3 linked regions of the Kluyveromyces lactis genome follow. The protein of the gene in region 1 interacts with the protein of each later gene in a pairwise test. Links are inferred from orthologs where the notes say so. Each region holds a gene or a part of one and is shown on either strand. Other genes may lie near its edges. The genes, in order: PHO85, SSN8 and KLLA0_C08305g.

Region 1 (2,820 bases):
GGAATTGCAGAAACAGGATTATCCATCAATATTTTACTCGGAGGTAGAATTTTTTTTCCAAAACGATATTCAACTAAAGAAACCAGTTTACAACCAGTTGATACTTGAACTATCCGTCCACTACGAGGTGAAGCAGCCTTATTTCCTCATAGAAACCTTAATGCATTGGTTTTTCCATACTAACCAAGGTCAATATAACATCAACCATTTATTCCATGCCATTATCTTGGTAACTCACATCTCATCGGTGTTACCTTCTAAATCCTTGGATAATAATGGACCCTTAATCGAACTAATCAACAACATATATTTGACTCCTGCTGGTCAGCAGTTACATGAGTTGCTATTAGTAGACGATTATACTGACGAAGAGGCGTTTAGTAGAAGGAGAATACGTGTCCTGAACAAATTCATCAATAAATTCTACAAGTTGGAAGAAACAAGACCATTGTTATTGTCTCAGGACGTCTTATGGGAAACCTTGGTCGACGTTAAGGACAAACATGTTATGAAACTTATTATGGAATATGGAGGACAGCCTAGCATCAACGTAATTCAATAAATCCGTAATATAAAAAGTAAAAGGAATGGTTACAGATTACTATACACTTATTTATTTATTTATTTGTTTGTTTGTATCTTTAGATGAGCAAGGCTATCTAAATCTAAAATCGTTAGTTGGCATGGTTATATTCTGCAAACCATGGGTGGTTCAAGGCATCCTTTGCAGAAAGTCTTGCATCTGGGTTCAGTTGCAATAGACCATGCAATAGATCCACTACATTATCGTCCAACACTTCCTCCGTATTGTTTTGTAATAGCTGTTTCAAATCACGAGGCATATGTGGAGGCAAAAGTGGATTGTATTTAGCCAATTGAGTCACTTGCGGCCATGTCTGCTCCACTGGAGTACCCATCGTATCGAATATGAGTTTCAACTGTTCCTCATCGTTGGAACCAGGGAATAACGGTTTCCCCATAATCATTTCAGCCAAGATACATCCGCATGACCAAATATCGATTGAAGTGCAATAGTTTCTTGACCCCATCAACACATCAGGAGCCCTATACCAAAGAGTCACCACTTCACTGCTGAAAGTGTTAACTGGGATACCAAATGCACGAGCCAACCCAAAATCACCAAGTTTCAATTGACCTCTGTTATTGATCAACAAGTTCTGAGGTTTCAAATCACGATGCAAGATCCTGTTCTCATGGCAAAACGCTACACCTTGTAACAACTGCCATTGGAAATATTTCACCAAATCCATCTCTAAGCCCTTATGAGAATTTCCCTTGTTTCTATTGTCCATGAACTTCTTAAGGTCATTATCCATGAATTCAAACACCAACGTCAACTTATTCTCAGTATGAATCACATCGAATAGCCTCACGATGTTATCATGTTTCAACTCTTTCATCAACGATATCTCCCTAATGGCCGTTGACGGAGTTCCTTCTTCGCTATCCAATTTCACTTCTTTCAAAGCAACGTATACACCAGTCGTCTTATTCAATCCTTTGTACACGGTAGCATACGTACCGTTACCAACCTTTTCAAGTTGCTTGAATCTGGTTTCATAGCGTAGTAGAGGGGACAAACGATTGCTGCGTTAGTATAAAAGTCAGAGTTATAGTGGTAAGGAGAAGTACTCATCTGCTTTGTACTCCTCGCTGCCAGTATCAAATATTCACAAAACTGCATACTGAGATGGTGCCACCATAGTTTATGTTTATTGATGATCCTTGGAATGGTCCTGAGAGCTATATAACCATTATCGGATCCTCTTTTTACATCTGTTCAAGAGATAATGATTCAAATAGGAATTGAAATCTTCAAATATTTAAGAATGGTGTTATCTAGAATAAAATAGTGGATACAGAAGGAAGTAACTTAGAAGAGGACAGAAATATTTGAGGTTTGGCAGTTGTGGCGTCCATCTCAGATAGTTTACTACCTAATTATATATGCGTACCATTTCAAAACTCTTCTTTCCCCTGTACTTGCTAATTATAATGCCAGTGACAAAAGTCTACTTGAAGATCTTCTAATATTAGACAGGAGTAAATACACAATTACGCTTTAATACCTGGAAATCTTATCCATTCATTTACAGTAGTAAATAATAATATTCATGTTGAACAACTTCCAAGTGGTTATATGGCTAAAGGCAGGAAGATATCTTGTATGTTGCTTCGAATTCCTGGTGCCTTTAGAGCATGAGTAACGTTCGAAGTGAAAAATTTAAAGAGGGCATCGATTCATCAACTAATAAGCAGTTTCAACGCAGACTCGAAGAACTCGATGGAATACCAGGATATAGAGAACCATATAGACTGTGCACAGGTAGAGTTGACGTAAGTTTGATATGACCTCGAATACGCTTCATTATACCGTGGAGAAATCCAGTATTTTGGGACCAGAATGGCAATCTTTATATTCGACAGCGGAACCTGTCGACTTCGATAAATCACATTTCGAACAAGCTATGCTAAATGTGATAAGGCAGCCTAATGTAAACTCGACTGTTATTCTACGTGCAGATATGCTTATAGACAATGAATACGACTTAGAGTCTGGTTCATGTGTGAAATCAGAGAAGAAAGACATCGCGTTGGGAAGCGATGAGGGTATATTGAAAGTAAACATCGATGATCTAGCACCGAGATCTGTACCGATAGCGTTGGCTGATGTTACCACAAAGTTCCAATTTGTTAGGAGGATTGTTCCGAGGAATCCATTCAAGGATGCTATCATTAATCAGACGTGTTTGGTTATGAATTCCAACTCAGATGCTTCAACCTCTTTAGTAATTTACA
Region 2 (2,322 bases), on another chromosome or scaffold:
TCACAGAATAATGAAATGACAGACACTCTGCTTCTGCTTCACTAAACTTTTGGACTCGCTTTCTTTTGAACTTGTGCTTCCACTTTTCCTACTTCTACTCTTTATAAATACACGTTAACATTGTTAGTTAAGATTTGATTTCGAGTTTCATGTTTAACTCTCGAAATCATATTGCCGTTCGTTCACTTTTTTTTTTCTTTTCTGCGCATGAATAGCTCTAGATTATTTGGCAGATATCGCTTCGCCAAAGATATTTTTGGTGTTAAAGAGAAATAGAAGTTGCAAATGCAGCTCTTGGAGTGAGGCTTCTACTTGTCCTCTAGTTGACTGTGATTGCGAACTAAATTTTTTTTGTGCGTACAATGTGTATATTTCTCAGTGTCTGCATTTCTGTGATTCTTCCGTGAGTTGTCCAATATAATTTCATTTCGTTCTTATGCGATATATCCTTGATGCGTGGTTGATCTTGAATGCTACGTAATTTGTTATGTATGTACAGGTGTGAACTGAACGAAATCTTTTCGGCTTCAGAATCACTGAATTGCTGGTGTTTGTTGACGGAGGTATAACTCGTGTAGGAGCGCTCTGATCCGCAGTTCATTGTATTTGTCCCAATGGTCGTATAGTGATATGAGTTCTTGAAGGATAAACATCACTTGTTCCAAATTAACTTGAGTTTCAGCGATGAACATGTTGATGTTAGCACGCTTTGTACTGTCCTCTGGCTTGTGAATGATGCAAGACACTGCAAATAGACAACTTATGGCGATCACGTGCGGTGAATAGAGTAAATGGACATCGGTCGTATAACTATCGTTAATCAACGACCATATTTTCTGAAGCTCATCGTCTGAGAGTTTATAGTTGTACTTTTCGGATGATAATGCCTTCTCGATCTGTTCTAGAGACCGGTACGGATGGTGTACAATCAAATATGATTGCAATTCCTCGATTAAATAAAACTCAAACTCGGTCACTTTTGTCACATCCGGTGGAATAAACTCTGGCCATAGAGACCTCGCCTCGTTGACTAGCGTTCTTATATGCTGCGGACATTCTTCCACTTTGCAAGCCAAATAGATGCAGGTGGTGATTAAAAGATACAGGTTCACTTCCCTGACACTAGCTCGAAGCAAAAATCGGCTCAAATAAACATGTGCTGTAACAAGTGCACACTGCCGTATATTGAGCCTCCTGCCCAACTTCATTATAAGGAAATAGCAGTATATCCTCAAATTGTAGTCTCGATCATAATGCAGATCTCGCTGTGTAACCGGAATGTTTGTCGTCACCTGCTTGTTCGCCTTCGAATCGTGAATCGTAACATTCAAACCTTGTGGGAATAATTGGCATTCCAACAGCCAGAGTTTCTGCTTCTCCTTAGCCAAGGATTCCCTAGTATACTTCCACTTGTGCCTCTGACTCGAATCCCAGTATGAGGCGCTCATTTTGGAAAGATAATCTTCTAGCTGTTCAATGAATAAGGGGGGGAAAGGTATTTTTTATCCTCCAGTGAAATTTGTACTGCCTTTTGTTGTCGGAATCCTTTGTTCAAAGTACCTAACCCGATTCGGTTCTTACTACCTTACCGTTCGCTATTCTTCAATTCATCATCAAGTACATTATGATAAGCTGACCGTTGCAGCCCTAAATTTCAGGTCGTTAAGAAGTCGGGTAACCTTTTTGAAAATTTTTTGGAAAAAAGTTAAACATTCAACTATATGAACCAAACATCAGCACTTCAAACACTTACTTTTAATTAAATGTTTTCTAGTGTTGTCTTTTGTTGTTGTTTGTTTCGTAAGTCGAGGGTTTTGTAGTCGAAGAATCGTCACTGATCGAAGCTTACATAAGGAACGGATTTTATCTGTTCAATTGAAATGATATCATTTCTATAGCTTTGGGTAGAAAGTCTCCGACCAGTCCGTAAGCGGAAACGTAATGAGATTTAAAAACTTTTCAAATGTTTAAATCAACTCATTAATCGTGTTGGTTTTCTGTCACGGTTTCTATCCAGAGGCTGTTTTAGAAGCCTCTGTGTCTTGGGTACTGAAGTATTTCTTTACTTTAAACGAAAGTTATGACGATTGCCCGAGCGTTTTTATCTCTTTTTTTGTTACTTCTGTTTACAGGGGTGATTAGGGAGGAGGTAGCTTGGGTAACCCAATGGAGCTTACTTTCTCGGCTCACGAAACTCTCCATCCTTTTTTCAATCATCAAACAGCTTGAAGTGGATTCGTTTCAAATTTATTTTGAACTTTTCGATACTTACGCATAGTCAAATATGCCAAGCTGCCCTGATTATTTATTATTGTATCATTT
Region 3 (2,814 bases), on another chromosome or scaffold:
ATTAACGAGGAAAGAAAGAAAACAAAGGAGGAAATAATCGCATATCATATATCAGACATCATGTCTCGTGCTAGTAAGATCACTCTTGGATTAACTACTTTGTTCACAGCGACGATAGTCGTAGGTGTTCATCACGTACAAGAACTTGAAAGACAGACTTTACATCAGGGACCAATCAAAGATGCGCAAAGAGTAGCAGAGAAAAAACTAGCCAGACAGAATGGCGTAGACCCTGAAAAGGAACGTCAAAGAATGGTAAATAAGAACGAACATGAGTATCAACTCGAATTAAGAAAGAAATACGAACAGATGCAACCTTTGAGCGGGGAGGTTCGAACTAAGGATAACGAACTCATAGAACAGAAGAAGTGATATGTCAACACGAACATGTTGTATATACCATTAACCGTTTCTTGTAAATATGCATATGTAGCGACCCTCAAAACACTATATTATTAGTATTGACCTTATAGGACAACATATTGTGCACGTGATGTTGGTATGTTTTGTATGGGAACTTCTGAAACCGAAAACTACCAAAAATAAAAAAAAAAATAAAAGAGACAGAAGAATATTAGGGACTGCAACAACGTGTAGAAACAAGGCGAGTTACATAAGACGACAGAGCAAAGTGTTATTCGTGCTGTGGTCCATTATTATTACAGTTTTGAAAAGACATCTTGGGAAATTGATACTTAGTGGGAGGCACAACAATTACACAGGATACGATTGTTTTTTTTCCTCTATTTTTCCTCTTTTTTTTTGCGAAACGATTATTTGTTTAGTTGAATAAGGACAAGGGTTTATCTGCAATTTGAAATAAGGAACAGGTACCATTTTCTCAAAAGAAATAGTTTTCAGGGACCTCAGAGTGGAATCTGGCAAGGGCTCAAGAACTCAATAACGAATAAGTCAAACTAACGGTTTACACGCGGCACATTCTGATTTATATCATTCATAGGGATCTTGAAATCAGGTAGCATTGCATGTATCCCACCCCCCCTTCCTTGGATAAATAACATCCAATAATATGTCATACCTGCGTAACACAACTTCATCAAGTTATGCAGAAACGGAGCCTATAGAGATACCAGTTAACAGGACTGAAACGGAACCGTATTCCTCCTCGCTGCAGGGCTCTCAGGTAAATTCGGAGGCAATCACAACATCTACACGACTTATAGACTCATCAAGTTCAAGCATTGACAAATATGGATCTGGTGGACTGACCCCTCAAGATATGAATCATGGTGTTACGAGTTCCTACTTTGATAGCAATTATAACAATAACATCGCGAGCAATAATCATACGGATACCAACTTTAACAAACATGCTGGAATAAGCTCATCATTTATTGACAATACTAGCGGTGTAAGCAGTTCGTTGGACTCAGGGTCTAACCTTCGACATTCAAATTTATCCGGTAATTTTCTTCCCAATGATACTCAATCAAATTCAAATGTACTGATACCTGTTAAGGCTGTATCAGAGTTAAGGATAGACGATGAACAGACAGGAAGTTCATCTACTTCCCAGCCAGACCATCATTCCAATGATGAAACACAACATTCCCTTAATAATAACAATCATCATATGGATATTGCGACATTTCCTACTTATAAATTGTTAGATATGCTTACGGGACTTCTTACGAAGATAATCAAATCAAACGACTCGCTTGGATCCACTCCAAATTTCGAAACATCTCAGGGGAAAAACATACCTCTTATGAGAGAAATACTGAGTTTTAGAGGTAAACAAGTACCAGGAATAACATTGAAACAATACTTTCAAAGAATTCAAAAGTATTGTCCGACGACGAACGATGTGTTACTCTCGCTTTTGGTCCATTTTGATAGAATAGCAAAAAAATGCAATGCCATTGCACAAGAGTACATGGTATCTGTCGTGTCTACACCGGATAAGACGACGGCTTCGCTAGCACATCAGTCATCTCCACAACTTTTCGTGATGGACTCTCATAACATTCACAGGCTTATCATTGCAGCGATAACGGTAAGCACCAAGTTTATCAGTGACTTTTTCTACAGTAATTCAAGATATGCGAGAGTTGGCGGTATCTCGTTGCAAGAATTGAATCATTTAGAACTCCAGTTTTTGATCCTATGTGATTTTAGATTGATAATCAGTGTGGAAGAGCTACAAAGGTACGCAGATTTGTTGTACAAATTCTGGGACAAGGAAAAGCACTTATATCAATCGGTATCACAACCAACCAATTCATCATTAATTGCATGAGAATAATGCTTAACGTATCGGATTTCCCCATTAATATTGTAGAATTAATAACGTTTGCAGTTAGAATATTGTCTATCTATATGTATAATCATATTGAATCTGATCTTTTGAGTTTTAAGGTAAAAAAAAAAAAAAAGAAAGTGGCTATAACGTGTGTCAGCAATATGCCGTTAAATTTCGCTACACGACATTGCACCTCTCCTCAGTATTTTTTTTTTGATCTGAAGGTTACAAAATCTTGACTTTCTTCATAGACTCACTGCAAAAGACGCTTTCTTTACTATTACTGAACGACCACAAAAAGAGCCTAAAAAGTCGAAACGAAGGTTATGGGCTGTCACAAAAAGAAAAAAGACTGCTTGCAGAAGCGAAAGGAAAAAACAAAATGGAACCTTCAGTCGGCAATTCCGGTAGAGCCGGGACGGCATTACCGGCCTAATTTTGCCGGAAAAGAAAATGCTCCAATATCTACGGGAGTATCTGTGTAAATTCATCAGTAATTCAATTAATTTAGCTGAAATACAACTGCTGGTAAAGATCCAAGTCAAAAGAGT

Evidence for each region.
Region 2: the proteins of PHO85 (region 1) and SSN8 interact in a two-hybrid assay, tested with the Saccharomyces cerevisiae proteins (2 studies listed by BioGRID). The link is inferred for Kluyveromyces lactis from reciprocal best matches to the Saccharomyces cerevisiae genes PHO85 and SSN8.
Region 3: the proteins of PHO85 (region 1) and KLLA0_C08305g interact in binary tests that used the Saccharomyces cerevisiae proteins (3 or more experiments, as listed by UniProt). The link is inferred for Kluyveromyces lactis from reciprocal best matches to the Saccharomyces cerevisiae genes PHO85 and PCL6.

Annotation. Positions count from the first base shown.
Region 1 is NC_006040.1:1,022,221-1,025,040, forward strand, and holds PHO85 (cyclin-dependent serine/threonine-protein kinase PHO85), read right to left. Parts: upstream 1,725-2,820; coding exon 1,708-1,724; intron 1,573-1,707; coding exon 675-1,572; downstream 1-674. Other genes in the region: KLLA0_D11968g (uncharacterized protein), read left to right, coding at 1-562; TRM44 (tRNA (uracil) methyltransferase), read left to right, coding at 2,370-2,820.
Region 2 is NC_006041.1:737,278-739,599, forward strand, and holds SSN8 (cyclin-dependent protein serine/threonine kinase regulator SSN8), read right to left. Parts: upstream 1,449-2,322; coding exon 534-1,448; downstream 1-533. UniProt on the Saccharomyces cerevisiae protein: Component of the SRB8-11 complex. The SRB8-11 complex is a regulatory module of the Mediator complex which is itself involved in regulation of basal and activated RNA polymerase II-dependent transcription.
Region 3 is NC_006039.1:728,442-731,255, reverse strand, and holds KLLA0_C08305g (PHO85 cyclin family protein), read left to right. Parts: upstream 1-1,030; coding exon 1,031-2,260; downstream 2,261-2,814. Other genes in the region: PET117 (Pet117p), read left to right, coding at 61-372. UniProt on the Saccharomyces cerevisiae protein: Cyclin partner of the cyclin-dependent kinase (CDK) PHO85. Together with cyclin PCL7, controls glycogen phosphorylase and glycogen synthase activities in response to nutrient availablility.